Medicago truncatula: one gene and its partner. The main gene of each other region encodes a partner of the protein of the gene in region 2 in a complex. Links are inferred from orthologs where the notes say so. Each region holds a gene or a part of one and is shown on either strand. Other genes may lie near its edges. The genes, in order: strigolactone esterase RMS3 and F-box protein MAX2.

Region 1 (9,687 bases), on a different chromosome or scaffold from region 2:
TAGTTTATCAGTTAAGTCCAATCTAATGTATAAAACACAGATGACTTGTATAGCAAGTAACCATGTTAAGGCTTAGTATCTAATAGTTTCAATACTCAATTTGATTCTATATAAATTTTTGGATTCAATTTGATCCCCTTGAAAGCAAACTTAGTCGTGAAATCATTAGTTAGACACAACATAGCTAATTTTGATGATGCTCGTGACTAGGGCTGGAAATGAGTCGAGTCGAGTCGAACCTGTCTGAGCTCGATTCGACTCCATAAGAATTGGTTCGGCTCGAAACTCGACTCGAGTTTGAAACGAACCTTTTTTTTTACCTCAAGTTCGACTCATTTAAAGTTCGCGAACAACTCGGTTCGGCTCGTTAGGTTCAACTCGTCTACTCGATTTGTATACTTCAAAAGCTTTTTTTCTTCAAATATTTTTTTTTGTCAAAAATACATGTCTTTGACTTAAATATATATATATATATATTAAATAAAACTATGAAGGTAGAAAGGCAGTAGCACTTACTACTGTAGCGCATACCATGTTTTACATTGTACTCATTATCATCTACCTCTCTTATATATACACTCTTACTCTCTAATATTTTCAAAACACCCGATGTGGAACTATTTGTGTACAAATGTTTGTTTAAAAGTCTTCAAAAGATATTAACTTTTTTCCTCAATCATAACAATTATCGTTGATTATTAATCAAATTAGTAATAATTCCTATGAAAAAAGTACATAATTATTAGAAGAAGCTTGTAATAAATTAGATATTATATAACAATATGCAAAATAATATTTTATATATATCGAGCTGGTTCATGAACCAAACGAGTCGAACCATACTCAATTCAAGTTCGACTCATTTATTTAACGAACTTAATTTTCAACTCAAGTTCGACTCATTTGGTTCACGAACCAAGTTCAACGAGTCAATTATCGAATCGAATCTCAAACTATTTTCGAGTTGGTTCGATTCATTACCGGCCATACTCGTGACCAATTGACCTTGTCAATGTGTTGTTTGTAAAATAAAAGAGCAATTCATAGGAAATAATGATCAGGGTGCCACATTGAAACCTAAAATAAATTTGAGGAAAATCAAATTGACACGTATACTTAATCTTGTATGGACTATTTCTTTATGTTGATTTTAATGATATTCTTCCCGTACAACAATTAAGATTATTTTATTTGAAGGTTCATAACACATTTAAAGGTATATCAAACTATGAAATTCATTACTAGTGTTTTAGAGAATGAATCTATACAAATTTTTTTGTAAGGAATTCCAATTATTTACCTTATTAGCTTATCAATCTCTTGCCCATGCAGCTTTTTCAATTTAAAAAAGAGTTGATAGAAGATATGTTTTTAGATAGACTAATATGATTGATGATATGCAAGATGTGAATATGTAAGATTTTGATATGTGATCCTTAATTTTTGAATAAATCAAAATTTGTTTGGTCTAAAAAAGTACTTACATAAGTTTGAACAAAGCTAAAAACCATAAAACAAGTGGACCATTCATATTGTGGATTCTAGCAAGAAATCCAAAATGCAAAATATTATGACCAGATAAGCCATTGTCTTAAAACTTACCAAAAGTCAATCGTAGTACATAAGGTCGCATCAAATCAAATAATTGAAAATCACTAGATAAAATTTTGAAACACAAAGAATAAACCAGTAGAAAACAAAAGACCTTTATAACTAGTAACTACTAATCATCATCATTTAGTCAAAAAAAAAAAAAAAAACCAATAATCATCATGATAATAAACCATTATATAAAAGAAACAAGGCATTTCTCTTTTCTTTTTTTCTTTGTTTCCTTTTCTCATATCGCAAATTAAAAGTAAAAGAACCTAAAATGGGCACACATCACGTGACATCACGTGCAGATTCTTATCCTACATAAAAATCTCATAAAATCTATGAACCAAAACCCACACATTATTCGACACGTGTCCACATCGAACCTCTAGTACATGTCTTCTAGAGCTTTAGACCAGGACAACCTTGGTCCTTGGTCAGCATCCAATAGTTATAAACCCAAACCCATACCCACGCGCCCAACACAAGCTTAAACCCCACGCGCTAATGTGAAAGTGCTATCTCCAACTGATGAGCCAAGTAAGAAGGAGCGCTCAAATGAGGAAGATGCCCCTCCGTGTCCAGCCACTGCACCGTACTCTTCCCACCAAGATGCTCCTTCATGTAAGTCGCAACCGTCGCCGGAACCGACATGTCCCTCGCCGTTTGCATGATACAACAAGGTACCTTAACCAATCCTAAAATCCCTCTCAGATCACTGTTGAAGACCGTTCTTGAAACGAAAAGTGATATGTCTGGTCTCATGTTGAAAAGTGTTCTAGAAAATTCTCGAACCGCTGTAGGAACATCGGCCCCGACAGCTAGTGGAGCAAAACCGTTAACCCAGGCTTCATAGTTTGCTTCCATTGCTGAAAAAACTTGCTCAATTTCACCTTGCTCAAATCCTCCGTGGTAATTTTCTCCGTCGTTCAAGAATCTGAATAAACAAACATAAATAAATAAATAGTCATAATACGAGGGATATATGACAAACGTATTTAGAACTAGTTATGAGTGTTGTGTAACCTTGGGGAGGCACCGATGAGGATGAGTTTGGAGAAGAGTTCAGGGCGGCGAATGGAAGCTAACATTCCGATCATGGCGGAGATGGAGTGGCCGACGTAAGCACAGCGAGTGACATGGAGGGAATCAAGGATGTTGAGGAGGTCATCAACGTAAGCGTCAAGAGTTGTGTAGCGGCGGTAATCGAAGTAATCGGGGTTGACACTGCCGGCGCAAACGAGGTCATAGAGAATGACTTTATAGCTGCGGGTGAAGTAAGGGAGCACGCGCTGCCATGCTGATTGGTCGGTGCCGAAGCCGTGGGCGAAGACGATGTATTTGTCGCCGGAGCCTTCTACGCGGACATTCAGTGCGTCGAGGATGGAAGTGCTGCCCATGTTTGGACAAAAGAAATGTGTTGGATTTGGATATAAGAGTTGTGTGTTTTGGGATACGAGCCAAACTGAATATTTCTATCTCACTATGTTTTGAGTGGTATTTATAAGAAAAAATAAATGTTCTGTACACACTCGTTAAACCACTCTAGATTATATATGTGGGAGAAAAATAGATGTAATATTTTGACAATATGATTCATAATAAGAAAAGTGTAATGAAATTGAGTTAAGATCACGAAAAAAAATATATTAAAGAGTTTGATTTGGTCAACCAAATACGAGTTCATTAATCATTGACAACACTTAAATTCTCACTAATGGAACCCTTTTATTTCTTTGAGAAATGAAAAAGATTTTGATGCTAAAAATTTAGGAGTATCCACTAACATTGTTGTGTTGATAATTGTCAAGATTAGTATTACACACAATGATATAACTCCAAAAAAGGGATTTAAATTAGGGAAAACATCCGTGTATTGTTAAGATTAGGGCTACGACCATACAAGATCCGCACATACGATAGCACCCTCAATGGGTTTTCGAGCTATTTTACCTCAACGATACTATATAACAAGCTTCTTTCCTCAAGAAGCAAGGTATACACTATTTATGTTTATAAACTCTTCTAAATTTTCTAATAAATTTGAGCGTTAAATTGCTTATAAGTACACCGTCTCATTGAAGACTTCGAGTTGTCGTCCTCTACCGCACCCCATCACTTATATCCACTATTTCGGGGCCACCTTGAGTTACATTTTATAACCTAGAACCGATGGTCCAATGAGGCTATGATTACTCTCCAAATCTTTCCTAGGGATGTATTATTAATCAGTCAAAATAAAAGCCATAATATACCATTAAAAATAAATAAAACAACGGCTTACAAACCAAATTTCCTTTCTTAGTAAGTCATTTTTATGGTTTATTTTGTTTGAGATATGCCAAGTTGTATGTGTGTTGTGTTAAGAGGAACCTACTCGAGGGAGATATTTTCTTTGAAAAATTGTGCATGGTAAACTCGCTACTAATATGGACGGTAACCATCGTTAGATGACTTACGATCCTTGATCATTGTAGTTCTCATGATAAATCTATAATTAGCTTCTTGTGGGATTGTAAGAAAGTTATACTAATATAGATGTTGAAGTTATAAGGAGGTAATAGGTTCAACTATCTCACTAACAAGATATTAACTAACATATGTTAGTGAAAAGAAATTACCAATTCAGAGAATGCATCGCAACAACTAGGGTAGATAATGAAATCGAATTCCCTGTAATTAAGGGATTTCATATTCAGGTGGTCGGAATATCAATTGTCATTTGATTAAGATCAAACTATGAAAAATGTAAATTAAAATTGTTTTTTTTTTTTTTTTATAGAATGTAAATTAAAATTGTTATTTCATAATTTAATATATCAAATATGAATTCAACCTAATTGATTGAACGATTGTTGATGTTTCCGGATGTGCCGATGTCTCAACTGAGTTTGTCTCTACACAAAATTTTTAGAATTGTTTTTAATAGTAGTATAATTAATCAATAGTTGATATTTTAACCACAAGACCCACACTTATCACAAATTCTTTCACTCTTAGCCTACATCTATCATCATATGGAAAGCGGATTGTCTTCGGTGACTCGAGAGTGCAGTGGAATCACAACCACACATTTTTCACCACTTAATTTGGTCAAAATTCATTAAGTAGCCCTTGAATGGTGGAGATATACACTGGATTTCATCCGGTGAAAAATTCTCTCGAGAGAATCTCCATCCCATCGTATGTATCACAAATCCATTCTTGATAACATGAATATGTAGAATCCAATGCATAATTATAAATGAGTGATGTGTACACATGCGATCAATTTAGATATTAAAAAATGTATTTTTTTTCACTGTGGATGCTCTCAAAGCACTTGTTAAGAAGCTCAAAAAAAAAAAAAAAAATTTCTTTTGAGATTTGAGTGTTCAACGCATTGGATCTTTGAAAAAATTATACATTAAACTTATAAATTATTTCCTTAATGCACTTGTTAACAAGACTTTATAAATATTATCAAGAATCAAATGTGAAATCAAATGAGAGATGATTGATTAAATAATTGTTTAGTTATTTATATAAAGATATTTATATCTATAATGCTACAAATTTTCATATATGATACTTCACTGTTCAAAATTTCTGGATCCGACGACACGGGTCTCAAATGTGTGAATGGAGATAGTCGGGTCACACAATGGAGCGTGATTGTTGGAGCACTGGTACACAAACAAAAAGTGACGCTGATGATGACGAATAAGGAATGACAGTAGATGAACATGTATGGTTGTACATTCATCCAAGTTCAAGGCACTGGAAAAAAAACGAGTACATGTGTACCATTGCTAGTTAGCTTCAATTTTCACCAGTACATCATAATCCAACAATTGCTATCATTTGCTGTAGTTTGGTGTAGACGTGACAGAGATAGAATCTTTGCATGAATTGTTGTTTGATTAAAAATAGAAAGATGTAATGTAATAACATAGTGGAATCTGATTCATTGGAATTTGGAAGTAGCCTTCAAATATAAACCTCTTTCCCCTTCATTTACCTAGCTTTAAAAAATTAAAAATTAAATATACAAAATTCACACACAAAACAGGAAAATCAAAACGAATATGGAATTGACAAAGTCTGCACTTTTTTTTTGTCTATTCGTAAAATTTCATTGTCTCTCTCTGACAAAGATGTAGCAAGCTGCTTTCACCATCTCTAGTGTCTAGCAATATGCTTTTACTCGAAGCCACTAGTTAAATGCATATATAAAAGAACTTCACTTATCTTCAATGCTAATTTATGAAAATTTATTATATGCATGCATCACATGATGCTTTCCTTTTCTTCTTCTATTTTTTTATTTATTAAAGATGCTTTCCTTTTATTCGATAAACATATATATTGATACTAAATCCTAATGTGAAAGTTGATTGTCAAAAAAAGTTCCTAATGTGAAAGTCACGTACAACAATTAACTTTTTATTTTTGAAGAATAACAATATAATTAGCTTATTACCTCAAAAAAGTACAATTATCATATTGTTTCTTAAAAAAACAATTTATTATATGCTTTTTTTTTTTTAGCAAGCACAAGTTTTTTTAAGCTTTACCTATGACGCAAAATAGTATACAAAGTCCCAATTATATATGAAGTTTGATCAAGAAATAATTATTAAATTAAAATAGATAGATAACGAGATATTGGACCACAGAACAGGATTCAGATTAGTGGATATAAATATACTTCCGACCAGGTGGATAAACTAATTAACTTTACGAAGAAAAATCTATACGGGTCTAATTTTATATATAGCGCCTAAGTGTACAATTGATATGTGGTGATAAAAATTAAATTTAAATGAGTTGATTATTTAAAATTTATTTTGGCTAAAAGTTGGTTGAATTTAATTAAAGTGATTTATGTTTAAAATATATGGGTCATATTAACTTGTGCTCTTAGGGCACATGTTAAACATTAATTTCATTTCATAAATGGTAAGAATTTAATGAAAAAAAAATAAATATTAAACATTTTGAATAATAAATTAACACAATTTCCAATACATAATTTCTATTAGTAGAATTCTTAACATGTGTCACAAGGGTACAAGTTAACATTTTCCATAATGTTTATATTAACAAAAGGGAAATGTTAATCGGTGCCTTGGGGCACTAGTTAAGGAAGTAAATATAGTAGTTTTAATTGGAAGTTGCGCAGTCAACTCGTCAAAAGTTTAAAAAATATTATTTTTAACTTAAAACTTTATTGTTTTATCTTCCTTAACCAGTGTCCTAGAGACGTCGATAAATCTGATCCTTAACCAAAAAAAAGGTCAAGGACCTCAAAGTTCTACATAAAGCCAATAATTTTGCACCATAGATCATCAAAGAAATCAAAGATAAGAGAATGCAAACAAGGCTCATCCAAAAAGAAGTAGATAAGTTCTGAATATTGGGGCCCTTGCCCTAACTAGCATATTCATATTGTGACCCCAACGATAAGGAAAGACAATGTAGGTATTCCAATGTTCTATATATGGTGTTGGCACAAAGAAGTTCTATTGGGACAAACTTTCTTCCATGTTTAATTGTTCTGCTGACTCATATGTTTTCTTTTTCGTTTTCTAAACCTTGACTTTTTTCCCTATCTTTAAAAAGATAATGCTTTGTGTTTAGCCATCTTCTATCTATTATTCTTGACTAAATGGAAAGTTTAGAATGAGAGAGACGTGTAACTAATCCTCATTAATTAAATGCAATAACAAATTATCCACTATATTATTCTTGGGTACGTGGACAAAGAATTAAACACTACCTGAAACTTAGAAACGATGAAAAAATCCCACAAATGCAAAAATCTAAACTCTATTAATGTTGCTCTTTATTTTTGTCACTAAAGTTACTTTTCTCTTACAAAAAAAAACTATACCCTAGGGTTTAAGTGAGTTACATTTGAAAAGTCAAATAGATTTGACTCTTTAGTAAGTATGAAATCCGAATTTGACAGTGCAAAATCTAGAGGTTAATATTTAGTATTTTTTTGCTTTCACTATAGCGATTTAAATGTATTTTTTGTGATATGAAACAAATTTTTACTTTGTTGATGATTCTAACAATTTATACCTCAGAAGTATATGTGAAGATGGAAGAAGAAGCTCTCACTGTTTTTCTTGAGTGATTTATTCTCAGCACTGCAAGTGCAACCAATGATGGTGGGTTTGGGTACAAGAAGCTTGACAAAAAGGTGCTACCTGCCTTTGAAAGAGTGATGATAGGTAAACACTCATAGGTGGCATACCACTCCTTTACCACCCTTATGTGACATTTTTTTTTTTTTTTAAATTTCAGACCTCTTCTCTCCTCAAACCCCTCTTTCTGTTAATTGCTTTAAGTTACTGCAATTGAGCATTAATGAGGTTTATTAGCTTTCTTTGTAATCGACTCATACCATTAAAACAAACAATACCAAATTCAAAAACCAAAAAGAAATTTGAGACTATACAAGGAAGTAATGGATCATGTAGTTGCAACTGTTTGTATATTGATGAACATATGATTTGTCTCTTCTCCGAGCAACCCACTGCCTCCCTCCGCCTTATGGCCGCCGGATTTACCGTCTCCCTAGAAAACGTCAGATCTGAACCAAAAAAACTGATACAGTGCGGGAGAAAAGAAGATCACCGGCGATGTGACATTTCTGGATCTGAACAGCTTGAAAACAGGCGGCGGTGGTTATGAGGAAGAAGAGGCGGCGGTGTGGTTGCAACTTTGAAGAGAAGAGGTGGCGATTCTAGTGGTGTTAGGGTCGGAGAAAGGTGAGAAGATGACAGAGGGTTGGAGGCGCGAAGAATAGGGGTGGCGGTGGTGGTGAGTGGTGGTGTTAGTGATCTGTGGAGATGGAGAAATGAGAGAGAAGAGAGCGAAGGGAAAGACTTGTGTTTGTTTTTCTTGCATTGATAAAATAAATAATAAATAATAATAAAGGCCATTGTTGTTGTAAATCAAATTATAAGATGTCTAATGATGTTTGGAAAGCAACAATAATTGCTCGAGGTTGTTATTGTATATTTATTAGTTATCTATTTTTTTAAGTTTAAAGTAGATAGATATAAAAACAAGTAAATTATGAAATAGCTGTAATATATTTTACAATATACATAAAAGGATGTTTCATACATTTGCATGAGTATGTTCCATATGTATTAAATTCTGAAGAGAAAAGAAATGAGTGCAATGAGCTCTCAGTTTGTCTTCTCCGCTCAAAGTGATCTCAACCTGCAAACCACCAAAAAACCACCCGACCTCCATAAGCCTTCAACCCCTAAGCTTTCATTTCGTGATAAACTTTGAAGACCCTCCCAAGAAATCCAAATCCGTGAAAGAGAGGACATGATTGAAAAGAAACTTGTACGTATCGAGCTTGGGGATGGTAATCGCCTACTGCACAAAGTTTACTTGGAACCAAAAGTCTTTCAAGAACTCTGCACACCATGGAAAGATGCAATAGTTGTCAAGCTATTGGGAAAGAATCTCGGCTACAACACCATGAGAGACCGACTTCAAAAAATTTGGAGACTCCAAGGAGGGTTTGATATCATGGATAACAACAACGGTTTCTATATGGTGAAATTTGATCAAGCAGCTGATAAGGAAAAAGTCATTACTGGTGGTCCTTGGTTGATTTTTTATCACTGTCTCACAGTTTCACACGGTCCCCAAAATTCGCCTCTCCGGATGCAAAGGTAGATCGCATTGTGGTTTGGGTTCGTTTTCCAGGTTTGAACATTGTTTACTACGACGAAAGCTTCCTTTTAGCTATGGCCTCAGCGATCGGCCGCCCTATAAAAGTAGACCCAAATACTCTGAAAGTTGAAAGAGGAAAATTCGCAAGAATCTGTGTCGAAATTGATCTTACTGTTCCAGTAGTAGGAAAAAATTGGGTTAATGGCCATTGATACAAGGTACAATATGAAGGTCTGCATCTAATTTGCACAAATTGCGGTTGTTACGGTCATCTTGGGAGAAACTGCACCACCACAACAATCACCGCCGCCAGACAGAATAAGCCGCCCCACCAGCAAACCGTCGCCACCATTCAGGTAGAAAACCAAATGTCTGATCAGCACAATCTCACGCAATCAATTC
Region 2 (11,299 bases):
GTAATTAATCAGTTCCTTTTTTGTTGAAAAAAACAACTTCAAGGTTTACAAACATGATGAAAAAGGTGCATATGTACTTTTATTGTTTTAAATTTTAATCGTTGTGAATACAATATATAATTTTTTTTTTTTGAAGGAATACAATATATGTAACCAAAAAAGAAGAAGGAATACAATGTATAATATTTTCGCACTAGATTTTTAATATATAAGTGTATGAATGCATCCTTCAAAAAAAAAAAGTGTATAAATGCAGTCATTTACACTGAGAAAAGAAATTAAAGTGGAAAAGTACGTGGAATGCAGACCAAACCCACGTAAGAAAGCTATGGCGCAAAAACTAATGATGACTTCTCACTTGGGCTTCCTATATCGTGGCAAAATTTGGATCAATTGATTAAAATTAGAAAAATAATCTTTTAAAAAAAATTAGAAAATTAAGTCTCTTCTTAGTGGATCATTATTAAGAACTATTAGATTGATCAAACTCACACATTTTATTATACTCTCTATATTAGATCACAAATCTCCTTTTTTCTCCAAGTTCTGAACCACCGAAAAAAAACCTTTTTGAAGAAATATCTTTCTTTCGATGAGAAAATGGGGCGTGCAGATTTGATATTATGTTAAGAGGAGAGTCACACTTTGGTTACTTTAAAAAAATCACTTAAAATAATATTAGTTTATTTGCACACTCCGTTTTGCGAAATTTGCTTATAAAGAGAATGGTCGAGGAAAGTTTTATTTTAGATTCTATTTGTGATAGAAGATCGTTTTGCCTAACAATCAAGATGATTGAGAAATGTAATGTGAAGTGATGTATATCATAATGGATGAGATTACCGATTTCTCTTCAACCTTTCCCTCTTGCAATTTAAGCAAAATAGATTCAAACATTTGCTTCATGTGGGGAATTTTAGATTTGGTATGAAATGAAACATTTGGACCTTTTTTGACTTGCATCGTTGAAGCTTTTTAAATAACTAAATGCACTTTTCTACTCAAAGTCTCTCTCTTTCCACCATGACAAAGCATACATGTATATGCCCTGTTTTATTATTTCAATGATTTCCTCCATGTGGAGAAGAAGCATAAATCGGAAATTACAAAGAAAATACAAATATTTAAAAGAAAAAACTACTGATTGAGGGAAGTTTTAAGAAATACAAAATTCTTTTTTATGAACATATTTAATTCTAACAGAACCATCAATTAAATTTGACAGTGAATAAAGTTCTTTTGAAAATCAATATATAATGTTCTTTTGAAAAATGTGAAATTCACTTTTTTAAATTTTAAAAATGGATTAAATAAGTTTTTGATCATTATAAATATAATAACAAGAATTTTTTTAGTCATTGTAAAAAAATGGTATGTTTGCGTTCCTATGAAAAATTTCAACACACAATTTTAGTCTTCATTAAATTTAAATTTGTTTAATTGCTCTTAAATTTTTGAATAATTTTTTTCAAACATGTTTAAAAATTGTTTCTTCACGAAAAATGATTTCTAGATCCTGACTTTCATTACTTTTATCTTGAATTTTTTTTGTTTATAAAAATTCATATTTAATGCATTTCATGTTTAAAAAATCTAATATTTTATAAATTGGAACTCGCTCATATAGCAAAGGAAGAAAATATCTTTAACCTCTAATTTAATATTAATTACTTCGTCCATAATCATAATATTGTTTTTGCAATTTTGCTTGTCCCTAAATATAAAAAAAATTTCGGGCTTCAGCCCTCTTTGTTATAAAAATATATATAATTTTTCACATTATTAGATATATTTATTACATTTTTTATAGTATATCTTTTTTTTATGATAGAAGAAAATTATAAAAGATGATGTTTGTTTCAAGTTATATTTGGAGATTCCTGAGAATATGATAGTGGAAAGAAATATTCCTATGTTTGTTTTTAATTTTTATAATTATTCCTTCCTGGGAATAGAAGTTTCTTGAAAATGTTGTCTTGTTCCTAAGAAAATTGGGAGGAATAAAGTTTTCATGAAGCTGGGAATAAAATCATTAATTACTATCCAGAACTATCGCTTTATCAGTCATTCCCATGAATACTTTAAATACTAACCAAACACATTTTCTCAGTAAACCTGAAAATACAGTTCTCATCCTTATATTCACAAGAAAATTATTCCCATGATTATATTTTGTAAACTTGAAACAAAGACCCCCTAAGGAACTAACCTAGGGACTCGACATCTCACTCAATCAAAACGAAGCTTAAGAGCCAAAGAAGGACAAAAGATTGAAGAGGTCCTCCATTAGAAAGAACCACGGTGACCCAAGTTAGCAAGAAAATCAACGCAAGAGTTAGCTCCCTATAAATATGCTTCAATGAGACCTTTCAATCCATAAGATAGACAAGAAAAAGAATGTCGAATATATGGATTTGAAGAGCCGCGGTGTGAGATGAAGTGAGTTGAACAATTTGTATAAAGACCCAAGAATCACATTCCACAAGAAGGGAAATAATACCCTGATCCCAAAAGGTTTTAAGACCATATTAAAGAGACCTCAAAGCTCAACATAAATAGCGGTGGAGGTTTTTTTTTTTTTTTGGGTTACAAAATTTTAGGGTGAGGGGATGGTGCCCCAGTCTAAGGTAGGGAAGACCTTCGAGCTCAAAGAGCACTTACAAAGGTATTTACATTTACCTCCCTTCAAAGGCACTAGTGAGGCTCGAACCCGGATTCTCTCGGATTCAAGACCTGTCATTTTATAGGAGTGGAGGTTTTAATATTACAACACAAGATTCTTATTATGGGATTTTTAAATTGTGAGATTTTTAAATTTGTGATATTTGTTTTCTCAATTTAAATTGATAGATATATTTTTTTTCTCAACAAGAAAAAGTTGTGAGATTGTTTTCTCAAAAAAATCGACTGAGATCTCATTTTCTGAATTTTAAAAAAATATTTAATAAGTATTTTTTGTCAATTTAAATTGATAGTAAACATCTTATGGAATAAGTTCATAAAAAGTAAACTCGAAGATTCATTCTTTCAAAGTATAAAATTAACTCTATAACACTTTGAGAGAAGGCAACAGAAGTGTTGATTGGCTTGCTAACTTCAGCCTTACCATGGATTCATGGAATTTTACTATTTTGGAGACCCCTCCTAGTGAGCTCAATAGTCTCCTCTTTGATGACATCTCTGGTGCTTGTATGCCTAGAAATGTTCGTGTAATTGTTTAATTTTCTCTTTTGGGCTTCGGCCCTCTCTTGTACCAAAAAAAAAAATTAACTCTATAACTAATACTTATGTGATCTTAACTTCTAAATTTTACTTTAGAATTAATAAATCATATATGTTGAAAAATGGATTCTAATTTTTTTGCCTGCCCCCGACACCGACACTAATCCGACGTGAATTCATTGTTAGCGTCAGTTTTTGCCTGGTTAAAGTGGGTTTTTGGCCGACTTTAAACACTGTTTTCTTGTAGGGCCAGGGGTGGCAAATAAAGTTGCTTCCAATCCTTAATCCACCCCACCCATATATCAACGTTAACCAAGCTATTACCTTGTTATATAATAAATTCATTCAACAACCAACACCAACCATATATTTGGTTACAAACTGCTACATTCAAAACTAGACAAAACAACTCGATGGTATGTTTCCATCAACGATGCTTAATTCAGCCGCAAATTTTTATTTTTTTTTAGGAAACCACAAACTTATAATTTACAAAAACTAAATATTCACATACTTAATTTTATATATAACTTAAGACATGTCCCTAAATTCCATATGATGCTATTCAAAAAGACTAGTTTTGTTCTTAAATATGCTTTGGTGACATAAAATTATATTATTGAGGGGTGGATGCTAACTTGTATAAGACCATGAACCTTTGTGATGCAATGATTGTTGTTAATGAGTCTCACATCAAATAAAATATGACTTAAATATATGTTTATAAGTAGGAGCAATCTTCATCCAACAAACAAAAAGGAACAGTGATGAAGTAGAAGGATTTTGCAGTTTCAACTAAATATCTGAATGAACTAGAGCAAAAAATGACGCAACATTTTTAGGCAATTGAAAAGGAACATTGTGATGAAGTAAAAGGGTTCTTGCGGTTTCAACTAAATTTGAATGAACTAGAGCAAAAAAGGATGCGACACTTTTAGGCAATCGATGATCCACTTATGAAATCATATTATGTATTTTCAACCAAAAATGAAATCTTATTTCTATTTTATAACTTTTAATTGATTCATTTGCATTTTTATTTCCATGGTAATAGTAATTGATAATTTTTTATTACTTCTATAGTTCTAATTCAACAACTATTAAATCGTGTTCTTAAGGGTGGTTCAAAATCCAAGTCAAAGAATTCACGTTTGAATTTCATCGAAAATGGAGATATCCTTTTATGTGTGTGATCATTGGCTTCAGGTTTTTTTTTTTAAGAGGCTACAATGAAATATATTACCACATCAAAAGGTCCTCCCTAACATAAGATATGCCAAGGAAAAGACACCAAAGTCAAAACAAATATTTACAAGGGAAAACCAAAACAGTGACTAAAGAAAGCAAATAACTATTAGCCTATGCCAAAAATAGTGAAATGACTAAGCCACCAGCCATGATAGTTGAAGGGAAGAGAAGGAAATTTCGCCTTCAGCCACATGAAAGTCAGCGACTTAATTTTATCAACCACCTGCATAATTGAGCACTCTTTGCCATTAAAGAGCATGTTATTTCTTTCTTTCCAAATTTTCCACGTAGTTGCATACCAAAGAACCTGTAAAATTGATCGTCGTGCCTTTGTGACACCGCCATCAACAGTGAAGGGAATTACCGTCGACAAACCCAACCACCTGGAGATATAGTGCCAAATCGAACCAAATATATTACAATGTAAAAATAAATGTGCTGAAGTCTCTTCGGACCCACAGCCAGCAACACACATCCAGGAATCATTAGGAATCACTCCACAACGAAGAAGGTTATCCTTAGTTGGCAACCTATCACGAAACATACGCCAAGCAAACAAAACGACCTTCAAAGGGACATCTTTATTCCAAAGAGAGGACACCGCCACCATAGAAACAAACGGAGGTTGAAAAGTGAGCAAATTATAAGCACTACGGACGAAATAGACATGAGATGTTTCCAAATTCCATAGCCACCTATCAACTTTATCAACCTGCAAAGTCACACCGTGAAATAATAATTTAAATTCCTCCACCAACTCTTCTTCCCACGCAAACAGCCCCCCTCCTCCAACTTCACGCTTGCCCCTCATCCCCCATCCCCCATCCTAACTCACACATCATCAATAATAACTTATGTACTCTTTTGAGGATTTTGTTTTGTATGGGATGGTATTTGTTTGTTTTTTCTTGAGGTTTGATTTTGATTGTATATTTAGTGAGTTGTAATTGTTTTATTCATGTTAAAGAGTCGTTGGATGAGAGATAACATGAACAATTGTTTATAAGTGAAAGCGAATTTTACCTCACAAATTGATTTTAGGAGAATGAATTATCTCTAGTATAAAAATCTAAGGTGATATTAAAACCTTTTCCAAGATCTGTCTTGATCGAACCACCTACCATTTATATCTATGCATCAAGTCTAATAGTATTGGATGCGATAGGCTGTGTTAAATACTATCATATTTGATGAAAAATGACATAAACAAGTGTTTCTAAATATGGATAACCATCATCTCACAAATCAGTTTTGTACTATGGGCTAGAGCAAATATAAAAACTTAAGAATCCATGAATGATACACTTTGTATCTTGGATAATAAGTATTTATTAGAGAAATGATATTTGTACAACCACTTTATGACAACTTTTTCTTTCATACTCACATTATCCTCTTATTTTCTCTCTTTCTTTTTCTCTCCATAGTTTTTAACCAATAAAAAGAGAGAAAAAAAATTATCACAAAAAATTGTATGAAATAGTTGTTCAAATATCACTACTCTATTTATTAATATCATTTGTTGGTCTTTTGTGAAAGAGAGATAAATTTTAGAAATAAAAAAAGAAAAAACTTATATAGTATTGAATCTCATGTGTCAATGTAAACTTTGTTATTTAACGTGGATTGATTGGACTAAATTAGATTGGAAGCTCGAAAGGAAGGTTAACGTTGGGTCCCTCGTCGGTCACTCACTGACTCACATATTATATTATTATACATATACTCCATTATTATTATTTCAACGCCAGTTTTAAAAATATCATCAATATCCAATAGAGATATTAACGCCAAGTGTATGTTGCACTATTGTGTTTTGTGTTCCTATCCAAATCCAATCAAAATGGAAAAGACAGAGCTTGACAAAGTAAGTAGATAGAAAGAAAGAAAAAATGAACAAGATACGAAACAAGAAAAGAAGTAAACAAAATTCAATCCAACAATGTGACTCTGAGTGATTTAACCCTCTTTCTTTATCTCATAAGGGATTAACTGGGTCCTGTTTGTGGTCCCCCAATTGTTTGTCCCTATTCTTTTTTCCCTTATCTTAAATCTTAATAATAATGTACATGCAGATTTCATTTTGTACCATTACCCCATTTCCCACTGCTGGCTTGTTGCCTTTTACAGAAATCCAAACCATCCCTCATTTTCAAACCATCTCTCACACACACAATTTTGGATCTTAGTTACTCTTAATCGATGTTTGATATCATCGTGGATATGTCAAACTGTGATTTTACAAAAGTTATCGGTGTAATATCAAACACAAACTTAATGGTGAAAAAATCATCATGACTTTAATGTATGATAAGAAAAAATAAACAAAAATGATAAATAAGATGAGGAAAAGACGTACATCTTTTAAAGATAGCGGATCCAGATCACACGATTTTAAAATAAGAGAATATTAAAAAATGTCTTGTAAATATTGTTTAAGCAATCAAAATATATAAATTTCCTTAAAAATTTATACAATTGTTATTTAATAAAAAAAAATTATATTTTTAAGATAAAATTTCTATTTATAAATTTTTTAACAAATACTCAAAGAGACATGGTTAGTAAAACCCTTTAAAATTTAGTGAGCTACATACATCGTATTCACGTGGCTATGCATCACCCAACCAACAAAGTGTTTTCAATCTTATGACTAATAATAGCCATACCATACCCATCAATACCCATTATCAATCAAGCATATGATATCATCCTCTACCATACACAATACAATAAAATAAAATAAAAATGTAATAAAAACATTACTCTTTATAACATCTCAGAAACTGCCACAAATATCACTCACTAGATTTCATTGATTGATACTCAATACCCCAATCACCTTACCTCTATAAATTTCCTTCATACATATTCCTAAAAAGAAGAAAGTAGTTATTTTCGTGAGAATTTCTTACCGGTGATGGTAGGAAACAACTCAGCAACCACCGTCAGCCACCTACCGGAGGAGATTTTATCGAAAGTCTTCACCGGAATAACTGACACACGAACTCGAAACTCACTCTCCTTAGTATGTCATAGCTTCTTCAAGTTAGAGAGAAAAACGCGATTATCCCTCACGCTCCGAGGAAACGCGCGTGACTTATACAGAATTCCAACTTCCTTCACGAACGTTACTCATCTCGATGTATCACTTCTCTCGCCGTGGGGTCACGCGCTGTTCTGTTCACCTGCTGGTAATGATTCTCCGCTTCTAGCTCAACGGTTACGAAATACTTTCCCGCGCGTGACTTCACTCACTGTCTACGTGCGTGACCCGCACACGCTTCACCTTCTTCTCTTCAACCACTGGCCGGAGCTTCGTGATGTTCGGCTTGTTCGGTGGCATCAACGGCCGCAGGGGTTGCAACCGGGGTCAGACTTCGACGCCTTGTTCTCACGGTGCCGATCGATTACTTCACTTGATCTTTCATCGTTCTATCACTGGCCGGAGGATCTTCCACCGGTTTTGGCGGAGAATACTACCACAGCCGCCTCACTCCGTCGTTTGAATCTCTTAACGACGTCGTTCACGGAGGGGTTCAAGTCTAACCAAATCGAATCCATCACTTCATCTTGCCCTAATCTGGAACACTTTCTTGTTGCATGCACTTTTGATCCGAGATACATCGGTTTTGTCGGTGACGAAACTTTATTGGCCGTCGCTTCTAATTGTCCTAAGCTGAAACTTCTTCACATGGCTGATACGTCGTCGTTTTCGAATCGGAGAGAGGAAGAAGGTGTAGAGGATGCTAGGGTGAGTCGTGCCACGCTTGTAGCGTTGTTCACTGGGTTGCCTCTTCTGGAAGAATTGGTGCTAGATGTTTGTAAAAATGTCACCGAGACTAGTTTTGCTTTGGAGATGTTGAGTTCTAAATGTCCTAATTTGAAGGTTGTGAAGTTGGGTCAGTTTCAGGGGATTTGTTTGGCAATTGGGTCACGGCTTGACGGAATTGCGCTTTGCCATGGGCTTCAATCGTTGTCTGTTAACACGTGTGGTGATCTTGATGATATGGGGTTGATTGAGATTGGGAGAGGGTGTTCACGGTTGGTGAGATTTGAGATTCAGGGTTGTAAGCTTGTTACTGAAAAAGGGTTGAGGACTATGGCGTGTTTGCTTCGAAGGACTTTGATTGATGTTAAGGTTGCTTCATGTGTCAACCTGGATGCGGCTGCTACTCTTAGAGCTTTGGAGCCTATTCGGGACCGGATTGAGCGGCTTCACTTGGATTGTATATGGAAAGAAAGTGATAACTTCGGACAAGGTTTGTTCAACTTTGATCTGAACACTTTGGATGAACTGAACGGTTCAGAGTTAATGGATTGCTTTGGAGGTGAGGAATGTGGAGAAGACACAAGCATGAGGAAGAGGCAAAGGTGTGAGTATGGATTGGAGGCTGATGATTTGTTTGTGCAAAGCAATGGCAATGGTAACGGCAATGGATACTATGGCTATAGCTGGGATAGGTTGGAGTATCTTTCTCTTTGGATAAAGGTTGGTGAACTTTTGACTCAGTTGCCAGTAGCAGGGTTGGAGGATTGCCCCAATCTAGAAGAGATTCGTATAAAAGTCGAAGGAGATTGCAGAGGACAGCCCAAACCGGCAGTGCGCGAATTTGGTTTGAGCATTCTAGCTTGTTATCCTCAGTTGTCAAAGATGCAGCTGGATTGTGGCGATACAAAAGGTTATGTATACACAGCGCCTTCCGGCCAATTGGATTTGAGTTGGTGGGAGAGGTTCTTCCTTAATGGGATCGGTAGCTTGAGTCTAAATGAACTTCATTACTGGCCACCACAAGATGAGGATGTGAACCAGAGGAGTCTGTCTCTTCCAGCTGCTGGCCTGTTGCAAGAATGCTATACTTTGAGGAAGCTTTTCATTCATGGAACAACTCATGAACACTTCATGAACTACTTCCTCAAAATACCAAATCTGAGAGATGTTCAGCTGAGAGAGGATTACTATCCAGCACCAGAGAATGACATGAGTACAGAGATGAGGGTAGGATCATGCATTCGCTTTGAAGATGCGTTGAATAGGCGTCAAATATGTGACTGATCAAGTGTAATGTTTGCTAGGATGCAATAAACAAGAGAAAAAAGAGGATAGTTCTTAAGGCTATAGGGCTTGTTAATTGTTATTGCCAATTATTAACATCAATTACGGCTTTGGTAGATTATTTGTCACTTTCCTCTTTTGACACCGTAAAATCGTGGGACTCCAGTTGGATTTTTGTTTGAGTCTCAAATGTAACCATTCTACCCTCGGCTATTTTGTTATTTTCGTGGAATAAATATGCGCGAGAGATTACATGCATCTTCTCTCACAAGAACTTAAATTATCAAGGTAACCAAAAAAAAAAAAAAGAACTTAAATTATAAGGTAAAAAAAGTTGAAATTATTATGAGAAACTTTTTTTGACAAGTAGATTATTATGAGAAACTTATATACGATTTGTTTTTTGAGTCTTCTAGCAAGAGCTCTTTGTATTTAAACTTATATCTTAGGTTAGAATCTGATGCATAGCTATGCATGTGAAAATACAGAATTTTTTTAAAACCCAAGGTAGGTCCGTTTAGTGTAAAAAACAACAAAAAATTACTGTCTGAATTTCTATCACAGTTGATTAAATTATAATATGTACCCCAACATATTTTGGAATTCTTACTGATAAAATGGATATATGTGTTTAGTTCCATACATGTACCAGCACCGAGCATCACTATTTTAGAGAGCCGGATCCTCTCCTTCACTCTCTCCATCCTCTCTATCTCTCTTCTTTTATCGCTTTTTTAGCATTCAATTCTCTATTCTCTCTCATCCCTCCTGTGTAATGTGAAGGAAAGGATCCGAACACCTATTTTAGGTACAACCGAGCTTCATAGGTTAAAATTAAGCATGTGTTTGAAAGAATGGAAGCCAGTAGGATTCGACTGTTCAGTATATTGAATATTCTGTCATGAATTACTTCTTTCAAAATTTTCAACCATTAAATGAAAGGTCAACCATATTTTGTGTGATTAAAGAGATGGATAAAAAAAAGCCATTGCTTCTTTTCCTTCTCTTTACATTGCTTCACATAAGAGACGATTCAAGAAATGCACGAATGCACGCACATTTTAACATGTTTTCAGGACATATAATTCATATAAGTTTACAACATCAGCCGAAAATACAATGTGATAACTCAACCCAAAGTTCACTATGTACAAAAGGTAATTGCTGCATCAAGACATCGAGTACTCAATATCCACCAAGCGAGATAGGATCTCCTCACAACTTGGTCGCTCATTCGGTTCTGCCCAACACTCTGCACATGAAAAATCAAGTAACCAGTTAAACTAGATGGGGTCTGAATTATAACATGCTTAATGCTTTTTTTAAGGGTCTAAAGTAGTAACTTTTTATGAAAAGTTGTGTATTCAACTCAACGCCTTGGAAATTGAACTATTTGACTTTTTTAATAAATCATTTCTTAATTTGGAATGCTTAAAGAGTGCCCCAGGGGCACTCCTTAACAAGACCCAAAAAAAAAAAAATATATAATTATTTTTTAAAACAAAAGGGTATTGATTGAAGTTATGAATTAGTTGCAGATACCTGAAATCAGTCTGCCTAGCGGGCCTTCAGGAATCTCCAATCTGGAACCCTCATTAGCAACAGTATAAACCACCTAATCAGCAGAGAATAAAGATTAGCCAACATAAACTGTTATTTTGATTCTCCAGAATTCAACAAATATGTTTCCAATATAGAACTGTGACAGCAATAGAAATCGTAACAAATCTAACAAACATACCCTCTCTGGAGGTACGCCTTCCCATGGCCTAC

What was found.
Region 1: the proteins of F-box protein MAX2 (region 2) and strigolactone esterase RMS3 are in contact, whole or in part, in a cryo-EM structure (PDB 8IF6), measured with the Oryza sativa proteins. The link is inferred for Medicago truncatula from reciprocal best matches to the Arabidopsis thaliana genes MAX2 and AT3G03990. Residues at the interface, in NP_001411525.1 of Oryza sativa: Gly109, Gly110, Ser113, Ser115, Ser116, Ser118, Tyr596, Ala597, Leu598, Thr599, Pro601, Asp634, Asp636, Val637, His666, His668, Leu696, Met697, Thr699, Arg702; in NP_001404251.1 of Oryza sativa: Asn61, Arg63, Gly66, Ser67, Asp81, Ser83, Leu89, Arg97, Gly107, Ser108, Pro111, Ala135, Arg137, Pro211, Asp217, Pro219, Ala220, Val222, Gln223, Ser226, Arg227, Asn231.

The regions. Positions count from the first base shown.
Region 1 is NC_053042.1:5,248,817-5,258,503, reverse strand, and holds strigolactone esterase RMS3, read right to left. Parts: upstream 3,082-9,687; 5' UTR 2,997-3,081; coding exon 2,623-2,996; intron 2,534-2,622; coding exon 2,101-2,533; 3' UTR 1,760-2,100; downstream 1-1,759. UniProt on the Arabidopsis thaliana protein: Involved in strigolactone signaling pathway. Does not move long distances acropetally in the plant to regulate shoot branching and is rapidly degraded in the presence of strigolactones.
Region 2 is NC_053045.1:38,924,045-38,935,343, forward strand, and holds F-box protein MAX2, read left to right. Parts: upstream 1-7,163; 5' UTR 7,164-7,390; coding exon 7,391-9,526; 3' UTR 9,527-9,784; downstream 9,785-11,299. Other genes in the region: serine/threonine-protein kinase EDR1, read right to left, coding at 10,696-10,778, 11,069-11,141, 11,268-11,299. UniProt on the Arabidopsis thaliana protein: Component of SCF(ASK-cullin-F-box) E3 ubiquitin ligase complexes, which may mediate the ubiquitination and subsequent proteasomal degradation of target proteins. Promotes the senescence. Is necessary for responses to strigolactones and karrikins.